Oryctolagus cuniculus: one gene and its partners. The protein of the gene in region 1 purifies or fractionates together with the protein of each later gene. This does not show direct contact. Links are inferred from orthologs where the notes say so. Each region holds a gene or a part of one and is shown on either strand. Other genes may lie near its edges.

Evidence for each region. The genes of interacting proteins can lie anywhere in the genome.
Region 2: the proteins of DHX8 (region 1) and NUDCD1 purify together in Homo sapiens (affinity purification with mass spectrometry; 3 studies listed by BioGRID and IntAct, counting the BioPlex papers as one, with this or other methods). This does not show direct contact. The link is inferred for Oryctolagus cuniculus from reciprocal best matches to the Homo sapiens genes DHX8 and NUDCD1.
Region 3: the proteins of DHX8 (region 1) and NKAP purify together in Homo sapiens (co-immunoprecipitation; 3 studies listed by BioGRID and IntAct, with this or other methods). This does not show direct contact. The link is inferred for Oryctolagus cuniculus from reciprocal best matches to the Homo sapiens genes DHX8 and NKAP.

The regions. Positions count from the first base shown.
Region 1 is NC_091448.1:19,586,104-19,591,521, forward strand, and holds the start of DHX8 (ATP-dependent RNA helicase DHX8), read right to left. Parts: upstream 3,273-5,418; 5' UTR 3,110-3,272; coding exon 2,962-3,109; intron 271-2,961; coding exon 185-270; coding exon of another isoform or gene 181-184; intron 1-180.
Region 2 is NC_091437.1:134,681,825-134,686,472, forward strand, and holds part of NUDCD1 (nudC domain-containing protein 1), read right to left. Parts: intron 2,511-4,648; coding exon 2,330-2,510; intron 1-2,329.
Region 3 is NC_091453.1:73,166,960-73,172,398, reverse strand, and holds the start of NKAP (NF-kappa-B-activating protein), read right to left. Parts: upstream 3,351-5,439; 5' UTR 2,727-3,350; coding exon 2,347-2,726; intron 162-2,346; coding exon 81-161; intron 1-80. UniProt on the Homo sapiens protein: Acts as a transcriptional repressor. Plays a role as a transcriptional corepressor of the Notch-mediated signaling required for T-cell development. Also involved in the TNF and IL-1 induced NF-kappa-B activation.

The DNA of each region.
Region 1 (5,418 bases):
AGGTGCTGCAGGAAATCCTCACTTCGCCGCTGCCGAATGGCGTGAAAACATTACACATTTAATGGCTTATTTAAGTGTATGTGCATACTGTCTCCTTCCTGTACCCAAATCCTGTATTAAATCCTGCCAAAATTAAATTCAACAGTCACAGTAAAGTAAAATAGAAGTCTCCAAACATACATACTGTGAATTCTGCACCATTTTTGACCAAAGATGCCTTAAAAGTGTCAAAGGTGGTATTTTTCTCAGCAAGACTGATGACAAATTCAGCTGCAAATGAGAAAATGAATTATAATAAGAAATGGAGGCTTGAGCAAGCAATCAGTTTCAAGTATACCGAAAATAAAAATAATTATGCTACCCAACTGTCACAGAAACCAAAGACCAGCACTCAGGTAAGGGTAAAGAAACTGGTATTATCCACGTTGTGTTTCAGTGAACTTTTACAAATGAACTGAAAGTGTTACTACAAGATGGTTCAACCAGGCCGTGAGTTTATTTAAACTAGGCAAATCTATTTGCTGCAAATCACTGTATCTTTTTCTCTCAAAACTCCTAGCCAGGCGTATCGCCACGCAGACTCAAGGTGACAATGTACATAAGCATGAGCCCACGCGTGCGTGTGTGCGCACACACACGCACACACACACACAGTTGTATACAACAGAACAGTCTACAGTTTCGGGAAGGACAGATCCAGCCTACATGTGAGAATCCGGCAGCTGCTGGCTGTCACCATCTCCAAGTGCAGGAAGGAGCTGCCTGCCCTCACAATGTTTCTCCACAAACCTGCCTAGTTTTTGAGATGTCTAATATTACAGCTACTTATTAACTAAGAGAGTTTCAGAAAACACACACATTTTCTCACCAACTGAGATAATCAGCCTCACAAGAAATTTATTGAATTTATTTGGATTCTAATCAAAAAACAAAAAACAAAACAAAAAACAAAAAGGGAAAAAGGAACACAGGCGATCTAGATAACTGGCTGACCAACCAGTACTCCAGTACCACCTCCAGGCTGGAATTCGCTTCATCCTTTTGATGATGTTAAGTGGAAGCCACACACCATCAGGCCACACGGACACAGCTCATGCATAACAACAAATTAATAACAACCTCAATGGTTAATACTTCTTGAACATCGCCACAGGCTGAGTACTCCGCTACATGCTTCCCATGGGTTGTCCTCATGTTCCTAACAACAGCCCTCCTAAGTAGGGGCCACTATTGTTCAGATCTACATCAAAGGCTGAGAGTTGGAGACAACAACCTACCCACTAATAACTGGGGGACCCAAGCCCAGATCCCAGGCAGCTGACTGGAGGTCCCACTTGCTTTGGGGAAACGTAGAAAGAGAACTAAGTCACATGGTATTAGGCATGCTATACTCAAAAAAGCTCATCCCACAATAATCAGCAGCGTATCTACACTGCAAGCCATCATCAGTTTTTTCATCTTTAAACTGATTTTTATTTATTTGAAAGAGAAAGAGACAAAGATCTTCTATCTGCTGATTCACTGCCCAAATGCCCGCAACAGCCAGGGCTGGACTAGGCGAAAGCCAGGGGCCAGGAACTCAACCTGGGTCTTCCACATGGGTGGCAGGGACTCAAGGACTTCAGGCATCACCTGCTGCCCACAGGGTGCCCATTTGCAGGAAGTGGCGTGGGACTCGAACCCAGCACTTGAATATGAGATGTGGGCACCCAAGCAGGGTCTTCACTGTTGCACCAAATGACCACGTTGGTTTTTTTAATGTTCGGAATTAAATAAGGACATCGTTAAGTTAATGCACTATCAAACACAGATGCTAAAGGGCCAGCGTTGTGGCACAGTGGTTAAGCCTCTGCCTGTCACGCAGGCATCCCACATGAGCACTGGTTCCAGTCCAGGCTGCTCCATTTCCGATCCAGCTCCCTGCTAATGTGCCTGGGAGAGCAACAGAAGATGGCCCAAGTGCTTGGGCCCCTGCCAGCTATATGGAAGACCCAGGTGAAGCTCCTGGGTCCTGGCTACAGCCAGGCCCAGCCCCAGCAGTTGCAGCAATTTGGGGGAGTGAACCAATAGATGAAGGTGTCTCTCTCTCTGTCTCTGTCTCTGTCTCTCTCTGTCTCTCTCAGGCAAGAGAAATATGAACTAAAATATATGCTGGCAATATACTGGCTGCAGGGCACCTTCCTAAGTGCAATCTAGGAACCCTGCGAAAACCTCACCTCACATCAGAGAAGAAACCCACCTACCCTCCTCGACCCCTTCCTGTCGCACCCCCCCCCCCCCCCCCCGGTTCAGCCCTCTTAGCGACTCCCTCCTCTTCATTTAGAAAACAAATCCGACGGAGCTCTGGCTAGTCTCTAAACTCTTCCGCATGCACAACCATTATCTCTGCCCTATGTCCTCCTCCTATGACAGGGCGGGGAATGTCCCAGCACCTATCAAAAGCAAGCAACCTGTGCCTCCATCCCGTCCATCGCCTCCAGGGCCCAAGACTTTCCGAGGAGCTCAGCGCGAGTCTCCAGATGCTGTCTGCACCGGACAGCGAACGACTGGTGCTTGCGAGGCAGCGTAACACTAACGATCGCTGACTGCTATCTCACAGCGTGGCGCTGAGACCGAGGAAGGCACGGAATTAGAGAGCTGGGCAGAACAGGTGGCACAGTGGGAGCACCCAAAGACTGTCGGCAACCACCATCAAATACCACGGTGGCCGCCGCCGCTGCTGTTAAAGCTGTTCAATTATTCGCAGCTGAAAAACAAAACAAAACACCAAGCGGAGCGGCTGGCCCTGGGCTTCCCCGACAGCTCTAACAGATCGGCTCGGAGGGCTCCCAGACTCACTCCCCGGGCCGAGGGCCACGTGAATTGGGGAGAAGCGGACTCGCACCCCACTCGGCCCACACTCGGCTCCTTCCGCTCCCCGGAACCCCAAGCCCTGGGGCCCCAGGGACCTGCCCGGCTCACCGAGATCCTTGTCGTTGATCCCTAAGTGGTTGTCCAACTCGGTGCACACCTTCGACACTAAAGACAGATATTCGAGTTTGGCGAGCTCTTCCGCGGGGCCTGGCTCCGGCCCGGTCAGGACCCCGGCCGTGGCCACGGCCACAGCCATGGCTACAGCTTCCCTCCAGCCTCCTCCTTCCTTCCGGCCGGCCTCGCTCCCGCTTTCACTTCCGGGTCGGCGCACGTCCCTTTTGTTTACGTCGAAAAGTTTAGGAACTTCCCTAGCCGCCAACTGGATGGATCATAGAGATCAGGCCGGAAGTACTTTAAGAAGGGAGGGCAAGAACGGGTTCCGTAGCGCGGACCAGAGCCCTCTAGTGGTGAGAAAGATCTTCGCCCCCTCAGGCCCGGAAACGCCCACTCCCGGCGCGCTACCTCCCTACGTCAGCAGAGGGCGACCGCGCTCTACGCGCAGGGAGTCAATCTTCTCAAGAGAACCAAGCGCGCCTTGAATGCGAGTGTATTGTAACTATTGTAACTGTCCTTTTTTTTTTGACAGGCAGAGTGGACAGTGAGAGAGAGAGACAGAGAGAAAGGTCTTCCTTTGCCGTTGGTTCACCCTCCAATGGCCGCCGCGGCCAGCGCTGTGCGGCCGGCGTACTGCGCTGATCCGATGGCAGGAGCCGGGTACTTACCCTGGTCTCCCATGGGGTGCAGGGCCCAAGGACTTGGGCCATCCTCCACTGCACTCCCTGGCCACAGCAGAGAGCTGGCCTGGAAGAGGGGTAACCGGGACAGAATCCGGCGCCCCGACGGGGACTAGAACCCGGTGTGCCGGCGCCGCAAGGCGGAGGATTAGCCTAGTGAACCGCAGTGCCGGCCTGTAACTGTCCTTTGAGCGCTACGTGTATGTTTAATATAATAGCAGATAACGTTAATTGCTCGTTATGATTGGTTAGCTTTACCGCCACAAAAAAAAAAAATACTAAAACAGATAGCCTATACTGTCCCTACCCACACTTCCACCCGTGCTGGGTAAGAAATTATTTCCCATCACCATTCTAGTAGTAACCACGGTGTTGCTTTTATGCCTACTGCTAGATTGGTAGTGTGTGTTCAAACCAGTCGTCCATTCCCACAATATTTCCTTTTCTAAAAAAGACTATTTATTTGAAAGGCAGAGTTATAGAGAGGGCAGAGGCAGAGAGAGAGAGAGAGAGAGAGAGTCTTCCATCTGCTGTTTCACTCTCCAGATGGCTGCAACGGCCCGAGCTGCGCTGATCCAAAGCCAGGAGCCAGGAGCTTCTTCTGGGTCTCCCACGCAGGTGCAGGGGCCCAAGCACTTGGGCCATCTTCCACTGCTTTCCCAGGCCATAGCAGAGAGCTGGATCCGAAGTAGCTGGGTCTCAAACCAGCGCCCATATGGGATGCAGGAATAGCAGGCGTCAGCTTTACCCGCTTCTCCACAGCGTCGCCCCCGCAGTGTTTCTACTCTGGCCCAGAGTCTGTTCCCAGATGCCGGTGTTTGGGTAAGAACTGGGGGTTGGGAGGAGGTAGGCAGCAGGGAAGAGAGGACTGAACCTCTTTGCAACCCTAGATCAGGGGAGAGGATGGAAGTCATCTAAGGGCGTCCAAGGAGAGCTGGCGGGAAAAATCACCAGAACAAAGCAGTCTTGCTGCAACCGAGAGGGTCCTGGCCTTTCCCGCTAGGGTAAACCTGGGGTCTTAGGAGGGGCGCGTGGGCTCCTACAGGCGCAGTCAGAATAATTTGCTCCTAAGTGTGTGACTTTAGGAAACAGCTGCTGTCATTCATGCCAGGGGACTGCACTGGGCCTGGGAGCTGGTGAGAGTGGCCATGCCCCCTCACCCGAGGCCTCGCTGAGGATCAGGAGGGAGGAGAGCGGAAACCATCACAGAGGAACCAGGGGACTCATCTGAGGGCTTCGTGGCAAAGCCACAGCGCTGCTGCCCAAGCATGAGGGCAGCTGGGGGAGGGGCAGCCCAGGGCCAGGGACCCCGCAGGGCAGCCCAGCCTGCTCGAGCCATTACTTGTCTTCTAATGCCCTTATCTTCCAATGCCCAAGTGCAGCCTCAGTTTCGCACAAAATGTTCCTGACCTAGAATTCCTTCTCTTCTAGGCCATCAACCTGCCGCCAGTAATAGTGAATGCTTTAGGCTCCAGGTTTTCCAAGGCAAAAACGTCCCTCCTCAGCAGGCTTTTTCTTGTTAGAGTTCTCCTCTTTCGCTTAAAGGCTGCCTTTAAAATATCAGGCCACAGCAAAAACAGATTCAGGTACCCAGAGGCCACCTTGATGTGCACTTGTAAAGAAAACGTTCTCTCCCACACTTGCCTCCTCTCCTTCTATGGGAATGGCAAGGAATTTTCATTTATTTATGTATTTTTATTATGTATTTTTAAGAACATGTATTTATTATATAATAAATATTTAATAATATATTTATTATGTATTTTTAAGA
Region 2 (4,648 bases), on another chromosome or scaffold:
TTTTCTGTTAATTTAGAAAATAAAAGACAAAATAACACAATTATTCTGGTAATAGTTGAGGAGGGAAGGACTAAAACATTAAAGAGAAAATGATTAAAGGAACCATAAAGAAAATTAATACAACTAAAAACTTGGAAGAATAAAAAACATCCTGCTAATACACCAGGGAAAGAAGAGGAGAGTGGTCTAAGTCCTTAGGGCCCCTGCACCCACATAGGAGACGCAGATGGAGTTCCAGGCTTCTGGCTTCAGCCTGGGCCAGCCTCAGCCATTACAGCCATTTGGGTGGCGAACCAGTGGATCCAGCTGATGGGAAGATCTCTTGTTCTTTCTTTCTCTCTCTCTGTGCATCTCTTCTCTCCCTTTATCCAGTAACTCTGCCTTTCAAATAAATAAATCAAGAAAAACAAAAAGAAGAAAACAAGAAACTTTAATCCAAATGTATCTGTCCAGTCGAGGCATGCGAAGGAAGATAAAGGCAATAGATGATGGGGCTAGTTCATTGCTGCTGTTTTCCAAGAAGATCTGATGAACTGCATGATTGAGCTAATGCTGTTACAGAACGAAGTGCCTTGAAGAAGGGCAGGAGAAATATGCAGGATAATTTCTCTTAAAAGATGATTAATTACAAATCTTAATTTAAAAAAAGCAAAGTTTCTATCATTTAAAGTAGTAGTCTACACACTATGGCCCATGAGTCAAATCTAGGACTATTTTTATATGACCTAAAAGCTAACCTTGAATTTTATCTTTGTAATTGATTATTTAAATATATATGGAAACTATTAAAATTCAAATTTCAATGTTCAAACAAAAATATTATTAGAACACAACTATACTCATTCATTTATATACTACCCTATTTTTTTTTTTTGGACAGGCACAGTTAGAGAGAGAGACAGAGAGAAAGGTCTTCCTTCCGTTGGTTCACCCCCCAAGTAGCTGCTACAGCCAGCACGTTGTGGCTGGTGTGCTGTGCTGATCCGAAGCCAGGAGCCAGGAGCTTCCTCCCGGTCTCCCATGCGGGTGCAGGGCCCAAGGACCCGGGCCATCCTCCACTGCACTCCCGGGACACAGCAGAGAGCTGGAATGGAAGAGGAGCAACCGGGACAGAATCTGGCGCCCCGACCGGGACTAGAACCAGGGAAGCCAGCACCACAGGTGGAAGATTAGCCTACTGAGCCGCAGCGCCGGCCTATGTATTACCCTATTACATAGTACCTATTCATTTATGTATTACCTATGTACCATAGTGGCATAGTTGAACAGCTTGTGACATAGATCAGACCGTTCTTTACAGAAAAATTTCCAATACTTAATCTAATGTCTTAAGTTAATGTGTTCTTCCAGAGATGAAACTACAACCCTGAGAATAAGAACAAATAAATTACATTAAGTACTCCAAAGAATAAATCTAAGAGATTTATTCAACTTACTTATAAACTATTTTGAGATAATATCTATATAGATATTTGTTGTTGATTTTATAATAAAAGGGGAAGCCCTGTTGTAAAAAAATACTAATTGCCTTTATCAGATTATAATCTAGTAGCTATGGTAAAGGAAATATTTTCTATAGTAATAAATGATATTTTGTTAAATTAACTCATAAATAAGGAAGCTAATAAAAACTGGGAAAAACAGTCATCAAGGAAACCAAGTCCCTTAGTTATCTTAAAATAAAAAAGTCACTTGGCAAGGCAGTAAGTGCTAAGCAAAGGTGAAGAGCAAGTTAATAGTATTAAAGAAATTCAAATTAATACACAAGAAAGATTTTTAATGTCAAGTTTGAAGCCTGACAGCTTCAGAGACCAAGGTCTAGGACCTTTTAACACATGGAAGCACACCAGGTGAGAAAAGGTACATTCCATTCTCCTGAGGGTAGAAACAACAGGCAAAGTTCAGTGAAAATAAAGGTATTCATTTCCATGTGGAGACATTCATACCTACTTACATTTAAATTACACTGTAATGTATCATTAACTTACATTTACTTAAAAATTTATTAACATAGGAAGATAATGTATACATTATTTATATTAAAAAAGCACATGTTAAATTCTTTGAACTTTATTAATGTTTCCTTTTATACAGAAGGCTTACTTGCTGTGAAAATAAATAATTTTTTCCACAACCGTAACGAAAGAAAAACTGCCTACAGATACTCATTCTACCAGGAGTGGTAGGCACAAGAATCCAAACACAATGCCCAAGAAAAAGCTAACAGCATTTACAGAGAGAGCTCTGCATTTCAAAATCTATTAGATGAAGTGAACCATGGTGGGAGGCATACAGTGGAGAGGTGAGTGTTTCTAGAATTCTGTTTTACCTTTATTTTTGTTGCTGATAGTGACCCACTCCAAAGAAACATAAAAACCGCTTCCTTTCATATCCAAGTCCTCTTTCTCTATTCGAAGAAGTAGGATAGCTATTGAATGTTCTTCCATTTTTTGCAATGAGATACTGTGAATTATGATAAAAGGATTCCCAAGCTCTTCATTAAACATAATCTACAAAAAAAATTACAAATGATAATGTACATGTTACATAAACACAGATAACACAAAGCAAATATACAGAATTCTTACAATCTTACAATTACTTTGGAGGCTATTTACTACAAGGAATTAAAAAAAATTTAAGCCGGCGCCGTGGCTCAATAGGCTAATCCTCCACCTTGCGGCGCCGGCACACCGGGTTCTAGTCCCGGTTGGGGCGCCGGATTCTGTCCCGGTTGCCCCTCTTCCAGGCCAGCTCTCTGCTATGGCCAGGGAGTGCAGTGGAGGATGGCCCAGGTGCTTGGGCCCTGCACCCCATGGGAGACCAGGAAAAGCACCTGGCTCCTGGCTCCTGCCAGGATCAGCGCGGTGCGCCGGCTGCAGCGGCGGCCATTGGAGGGTGAACCAGCGGCAAAGGAAGACCTTTCTCTCTCTGACTCTCTCTCTCACTGTCCACTCTGCCTGTCAAAAAAAAAAAAAAAAAAAAAAAAAAAAAAAAAAAAAAAAAAAAAAAAAAAAAAAAATTTAAGGGGTTGGCACGGTGGCGTAGCAGGTTAAACTGTCGAGTGCAGAGCTGACATCCCATATAGGTGGCAGTTCGAGTCCTGGCTGCTCCACTTCCAATCCAGCTCTCTCCTAATGGCCTAGGAAAGCAGCAGATGATGGCTCTTGGACCCTGCACCAGCGTGGGAGACGTGGATGAAGATTCTGGCTCTTCGCTTTGGCCTGGCCCAGCCCTGGCCATTATGGCCATTTGGGGAGTGAATCAGTGGATGGAAGATCTCTCTCTCTCTCTCTCTTTCTCACTCTGCCTCTTCCTCTCTGTAACTCTGCCTTTCAAATAAATAAATCTTTTTAAAAAATTTAAAAAACCTTTTATATAGGCTGTACGTTTAAATAATGTTCTTTGAAGAAAGAACTCAGAAAAACATTCATTTGTGTAACAGAGAAAACTGATCATTAATGTTGGCTTCAAAATAAAAACAAGGGGGCATCACAACAGCATGTGAAGTAGAAAGAGACGTGCAAGCAATCTCCTCAAAAAGAATTATCAAGGGAAAAGAGTGCTCCACACAACAAAGGCTGCATGTGCCCGTCAACATTCCCCTGTTCCGTGTAAGACCCCTTCCTCTCAACTTCCGGACAGTGTGAGTATAAGTGTATATGCAGGTATGCTTTTTTACTGTTACTATTTCTTTTCCTGTTTATTTTCTGGAAGTTTACAAAGACAAGAAAGTGAAAAGCTTTGGATGAAAAATCAGTAAACTTTATTTCCCCAAACCAAGATTCTGTGTATATTTTAAAAAAGATAACACAGTAGGTTTCATGTAAAATATAAGCCTGGGCATGTACTGCGGCACAGCAGGTTAAGTCACTGCTTGGGCTGCCACATCCCATATTGGAATGCCAGTTCAGATCCAAAGTCCTAGAAATGCTGCCTTTTTTTTAAGATTTATTTATTTGAAAGGCAGAATTACAGAGAAAGGTAGAGACAGACAGAGAGGTCTTCCATCCGCTGGTTCACTCCCCAGATGGCTGCAACGGCCGGAGCTGTGCTGATCAGAAGCCAAGAGCTTCCTCTGGGTCTCCCACATGGGTGCAGGGGCCCAAGGACTTGGGCCATCTTCTACTGCTATTCCAGGCCATACCAGAGAGCTGAGGCTAGAACCAGCGCTCATATGGGATGCCAGCACTTCAGGCCAGGGCTTTAACCCGCTGCACACAGCGCCAGCCCCGAAATGCTGACATTTTTAAAAAGGCTAATCCACACATGAAATAAATACACACAAAATCCTTTCTAATTCTTTTTTATACCACAAACATGTTATCTAAAAACTATTACATTTGTATTGAAGGAAATATTAAATAAAGCTATAAGACAAATTCCTAAACAAGAATTCCAAATAAATGAAAAAAATGAATAATTGAACACCACTGAAAAAACTTAGGTCTTTAAAAAAAAAAAAACAACTTTTATCTGGTTGGTGGCATTGTGGCACAGCAAGTTAAGCCACCACCTACAATACCAGCATCCCATATAAATGGAGAGACATCAGCAAGAAGGGAAAACCAAGTTTGGGTAGGTATCAGAATATTGTTTGAATTTTTTTTCCTCATGTGAGTAAAAGGGTGTCAGTGAATGAGAGGAA
Region 3 (5,439 bases), on another chromosome or scaffold:
AAGTTCTTCACTTAAAAATTTTGGCAACAGACTTAGAATTTAAACAGTAGAATACAATACAATATTTTGAAACCACTTACTCTGGTTCAGGATTCTTTGGAGAAAGTCCCCATACTTCAGGAGCTCCCAATTCTCCAATCCTCTCTCTCTCACTTAATCTCCTAGAAGGTATAGGTATACAAATTATAACTCAATGGTTGAATTGTTCTTAAATATATAATCAAATCCAACAAGATCCCAGTTAAGTCTAATTTCTCTTTATTTTTAAATGTTGATAAAAACTTGGTTTAAATTCATCACTTGGGATTTTTGGTGTTCTGATAGTACTATCAAACGGTAGCAACTACAAATAGCTTGGGTGGCTGGGTCAGAAACGACAGCCTGGGAGACTGGAAGGTATTTCCCTTCTGCCTAATTCATGATATAACTATTCATTATTCATTTTATTGTCTGCAATTTGTGACAGAGTTTTACATTTGGAAATAACTTCATTTGTTCAGATGTTTATGAAAGTAAAGAGGAGTCTCTTGATTTGCTCAAATCTTCAGCTTTCAGAAGCCCAGGAATTGATAAAAGCAGAAAACAAAAGTTCTAAAAATGAAAAAAAGTCTTATTTGACAAAACTTGTACTCAGTGAGACACAGGGTTTGTTCTCTCTCTGTTTTCCCTTTAGTTTCTTTTTGGAAAAGTAGTACATTCTCTATTCTTTGGAGGACATTAAAATTTTCTTCTTTTGTTTTATAATGTGGTTTGTTTTAATTTTTGCTATTACTCTTAAAGTTAAAAAAAAAAGGCCCACTTCCTAAAAGTTTGGCTGTTTGTGATTTGATTTCTTTTTAAACATCCTTACAAAATAAATATAGCTGGTTTGTTTGAATAAATTATATTATTTCTTCAGGGGGAAATTATATCATCATTATGCAGAGTCAGACTCAGCATTTCCCACTTTAAGAAACATACAATCTAAAAGGGGACATACTTGGAATATTTACATATAGGGAGAAGAGTATCAGCCAAATTCTACAGTGCTTGGAGTCCTGTTCTCATACCTGCTGTCACCTGGCTTCATCTGTACTGTTAAGATAAATTACTTATCTCCTTAAATGTACAAATGCAAATTTCATTCAAGTAGTTCTGACATATTTTGGTGGAGATTTTCCACTAAGAAACCATTTGCTTTTTGATTGATAAAGCCTCTGGGTACTTTTCTGAAAAATTTAACTTGGAAGTAACCTAACTCAGGACTGTTTTCACTGTTTCTTCTTCCATGCATGCTGAACTAACATCTAACACTTGTGGAGTATTTATTATGTTCCAAACACTAAATTATTACAACCCTAAAATCCTTCATACTAATTTTATCTTTTTTTTAATAGTGAAGAAGTAAAACTCAGAGAGGTTAAGCAACTCGCTCAAGTTCACACTGTTGTTAAATACCAAATAAGCACATCAATTTCAGACAGTCTGATTCCTGGATGAAACTGCAGTTAGCAAAAGAATCACAAAGACACCTCTCAACTGCTGAAACTTTAACTTGCTCCTCAATGCCTGAAATACTTTTACATTTCTCATTTTCTGACACATACAGCATGTCTAGTCCTCAGCACAGTACTGGATACATAAATCTAACCTTTAATAAACATTAGAGACAAAGGCTTCCACAGCAATAATTATAAACCTTTTCCTTTCCCCTTAAACCATGCATTTTTCCACTCCATACTCACTCTTACTAGAAATTTGATCTCACCCCAATATCATTTTTCATGATCAAACAAGATCGAGACCACTCTGCAAGTCCTTTCTCAAGGTAGCCTCATCTACAGCCTAGCAGGTCACTTTTCCTACATTCATCGCCTTGTCTGAGGGGAAGATTTTCCTTCTCTCCAATTTAAACCCTTGATTTCAACCTTCCCAATTCCCCACAAAACATTACCACTTACGTGTTCTGTTAAATCAAGCCTATTTCTTCAATAAGCAATGGTTGCATGTTTGCAAAGTGCTAGGCACTGGGAATTCTATAATCAATAAAAGGGCTCTCAAATGATAATGGCACAACCAAGTAAATGCTATAAATCTGGTAGATGTGAGGCTCTTGACCGCGTTTGCTAACAACCCCGAAGAGGGAAGAGGGTAGCACGAAACCATGGCAATGTATAATGAATGAAAATGTAAGGGAATAAAAGGACGTATAAAAGGGTCGCCATGGGTGGACTGGATAACGGGGTGAAAACGGATACAAGGCAAGTATGAGCGAACACAAACGGCCACAAGAGGAATGAATGATAAATCGGACTCCAAAGGGAGGTGGGTTCGTAAAAGGAAAAGTGGGGGAGGGGGGTCACTCACTTCTGCCGCAGGCTTTCCTCCCTCTCCTTGTCCAGGAGGCTAGGCCACGGCTTGTCGCTCCCATAGGGGCGCGAGTAGCCGCCATAATAGGTGGACGAGGAGACAGAAGCGAAAGGTGTGCTCCGAGGCGCAGAGGGCCGCTCTCGAGAACGTGACCGCGAGCGGGAGCGGTAGGACTGGTTTCTTGAGCTGTGACTGAGGCCACCTACATGGTGACTGAGGCCATTCCGTTCCCCGGATCGAGAGCAAGAGTGCGAGCGAGAGCGGCGGCCCCGCGGGGACCGAGCAGATTTGCTGGGCTTGGGGCTCTTCGACGAACTGCGACGTTTTCCCCCGGAGCCCGAAGTTTCCGGGCTCCGTGAGCCGGATACCCGAGCCATTGCTGCTGCAGGATCCCAGAAGTCGCTGAAGAAGGGGGCGCTCTCACCAGTCTAGGAAGATCCCGGTTGCCTTGGCTTTCAGATCCCGCCACCTTACAACCACCCAAACCTGAGGGGAACCTTGGGAATCGTTTCGAGTACGTCGGTAAACCCCTTCCCCGGACGTAGGCGGTTCTGCAGACTTGAACGGACGTGTGTATCGGTATAAACAAGCCGGTAGGGCAACTGGGTCTACGCTCTCCTCTAGTTCCGAGTGGCTTCTCAAAGCTAAACTAACGGGGAGAGGAGATAAAGTCCTTTCTCAGCTTCGAACTTTGTGGTACCTGAAGAGAAGGATGGCGGAATATAAGATACATTTCACAGAGTGGTCGTATGAACAACACATCCAATTCTGTATGTGTTTCGTGTGCCTTCTGTGTATAATTATGCATTTATGTATGATTGAGAATATATATTGCATATAATTTGGTTTTTTTTCCTAATCCCAAGAAAAATTAGGAAAGTTTATCGCGATTGGGGTGAGCTATGATATCTAAGCTCCGTATTGCCCAGGTAGCATAGAAGGCACAAAGTCTGTGTTAACGTCTTGAGCCTGATACACTCCAAATAAGTTTGCAGCCCAGAGAAAAATTGCATACTTTTCTTACAGTAACTATCTCCACCCGTGTGCTTCAGCAAAAGGAATATGTAACCCTCTCTTTATCCAGCCCCTTAAACTAGTCATCTGCTAGCCTAGCAATATGTGGTTTATGATCAGTATTTCTGTTCATTTTCTACTGTTTTTAAATTTGGGAGGTAGAGACAGAAAGAGAGACAGAGTTCCTATCCACCAATTCACTCCTCAAATGCATGCAACAGCCAGGATTGGGCCAAGCTGAAACCAGGAACCAATACAGGTGTCACACGTGGGTGGCAGGGACCCAATTACTTGAGACATCACCTGTTGCCTCAAGGGTCTGCATTGGCTGGAAGCTGGAATTAGGAGCTGAAGTCAGGAATTCTGGCATTCTGATATGGGATGCTGGCTGCTGCTGCTGCTTTTAAAATATTTATTTACTTATTTGAAAGGTAGAGCAAGAGTGAGAGCGAATGTGAGAGAGATATGGAGGTCTTCTATCTGCTGGTTCACTTCTCAAATGGCCCCAGCCAGTCCTTTGGCAGCTTTTCCAGGCACATTTGCAGGGAGCTGGATTGAAAGAGGCACTGCGATATGGGATGCTGCTGTTGCAACCGGCAGCATAATTTGCTGTACCACACCAGCAGCCCAGGGTATGGGCTCCTTCCTTCCTTCCTCCCACCCTTCCTCTCTTTATTTCTTTTCCTGTTTCTTCTTCTGCTTTAAAGATTTATTTTTTTTTTCAAGGGCAGAGTGACAGAGAGAGAGAGAGAGAGAGAGAGAGAGAGAGAGAGAGAAGGAAGGGAGGGAGGAAGTAAGGAAAGGAAGGAAAGAAGGCAGGAAAAGGAAAGGAAAGGAAGGGAAGGGAAGGAAGGGAAAGAGAGAGAGAAAGAGAGAGAGAGAGAAAGAAAGAAAGAAAGAAAAAGAGAGAAAGAGAGAAAGAGAGAAAGAGAGAAAGAGAGAAAGAGAGAAAGAGAGAGAGAGAGAGAGAGAGAGAGAAAGAAAGAAAGAAAGAAAGAAAGAAAGAAAGAAAGAAAGAAAGAAAGAATCTTCCATATGCTGGTTCACTTCCCAGATGACTGCAGTGGCTGAGGCCTGTCCAGGCTGAAGGAGCCCAGAATTCCATCTGGGTCTTCCAAGTGGGTCACAGGGGCTTAAGTACTTGGGCCATTTTCCACTGTCTTCTCAGGTGCATTAGCAGGGAGACGTATCAGAAACGGAGCAGCTGGGTCTCCAACCAGCACTCCAATATGGGATGCTGGCGTCACAGAGGGTGGTTTAACCTGCTGTGCCACAACACCGGCCCCAAATCAAATGCCTACTCCTCAACAACTTTGGAAGTGGTAAGAAATTACTTACGGATGTATTGTTGTGGGGTGCACCGATTAAAACACAGCGAGACTTTTACAGAAGAGGCTGAAGTCTCATGGCCAAATTATGGAGTTTTTATTTTGAAAGCCAGTGGCTGCACAGGGGCATGTGTTTTCCAAATCATGCAGCCCGGATTGAGTTCAAGGGTAAGCTTATAAAGACAAAAACCACATCTGGTTGGGAGTTAATTACAAAGCCAAGTATTTGTTACAGAAGCTAGAACAAGCAAGGTTACACTTATTGTGGGGTGGGGGGCTGGGCACTGACGCATTTTCCCAGCACTTAATGTAACTGGTTAGAAAAAATAGAGGACAAATGGAGTGACTAGGGCCGGCGCTGCGGCTCACTAGGCTAATCCTCCGCCTGCGGTACTGGCACACTGGGTTCTAGTCCCGGTCGCTCCTCTTCCTGTCCAGCTCTCTGCTGTGGCCAGGGAGTGCAGTGGAGGATGGCCGGAGTGCTTGGGCCCTGCACCCGCATGGGAGACCAGGAGAAGCACCTGGCTCCTGGCTTCGGATTGGTGCAGCGTGCTGGCTGCAACGCTCCGGCCGTAGCGGCCACTTGGGGGGTGAACCAACAGAAAAAGGAAGACCTTTCTCTCTGTCTGTCTCTCTCTCTCATTGTCTAACTCTACCTGTCAAAAAAAAAAAAAAAAAAAAAAAGGAGTGATTAGAGATCATCCGGAGACAAAATAGACTTAGGTCAGGCATAGCTCAATATGAGGGT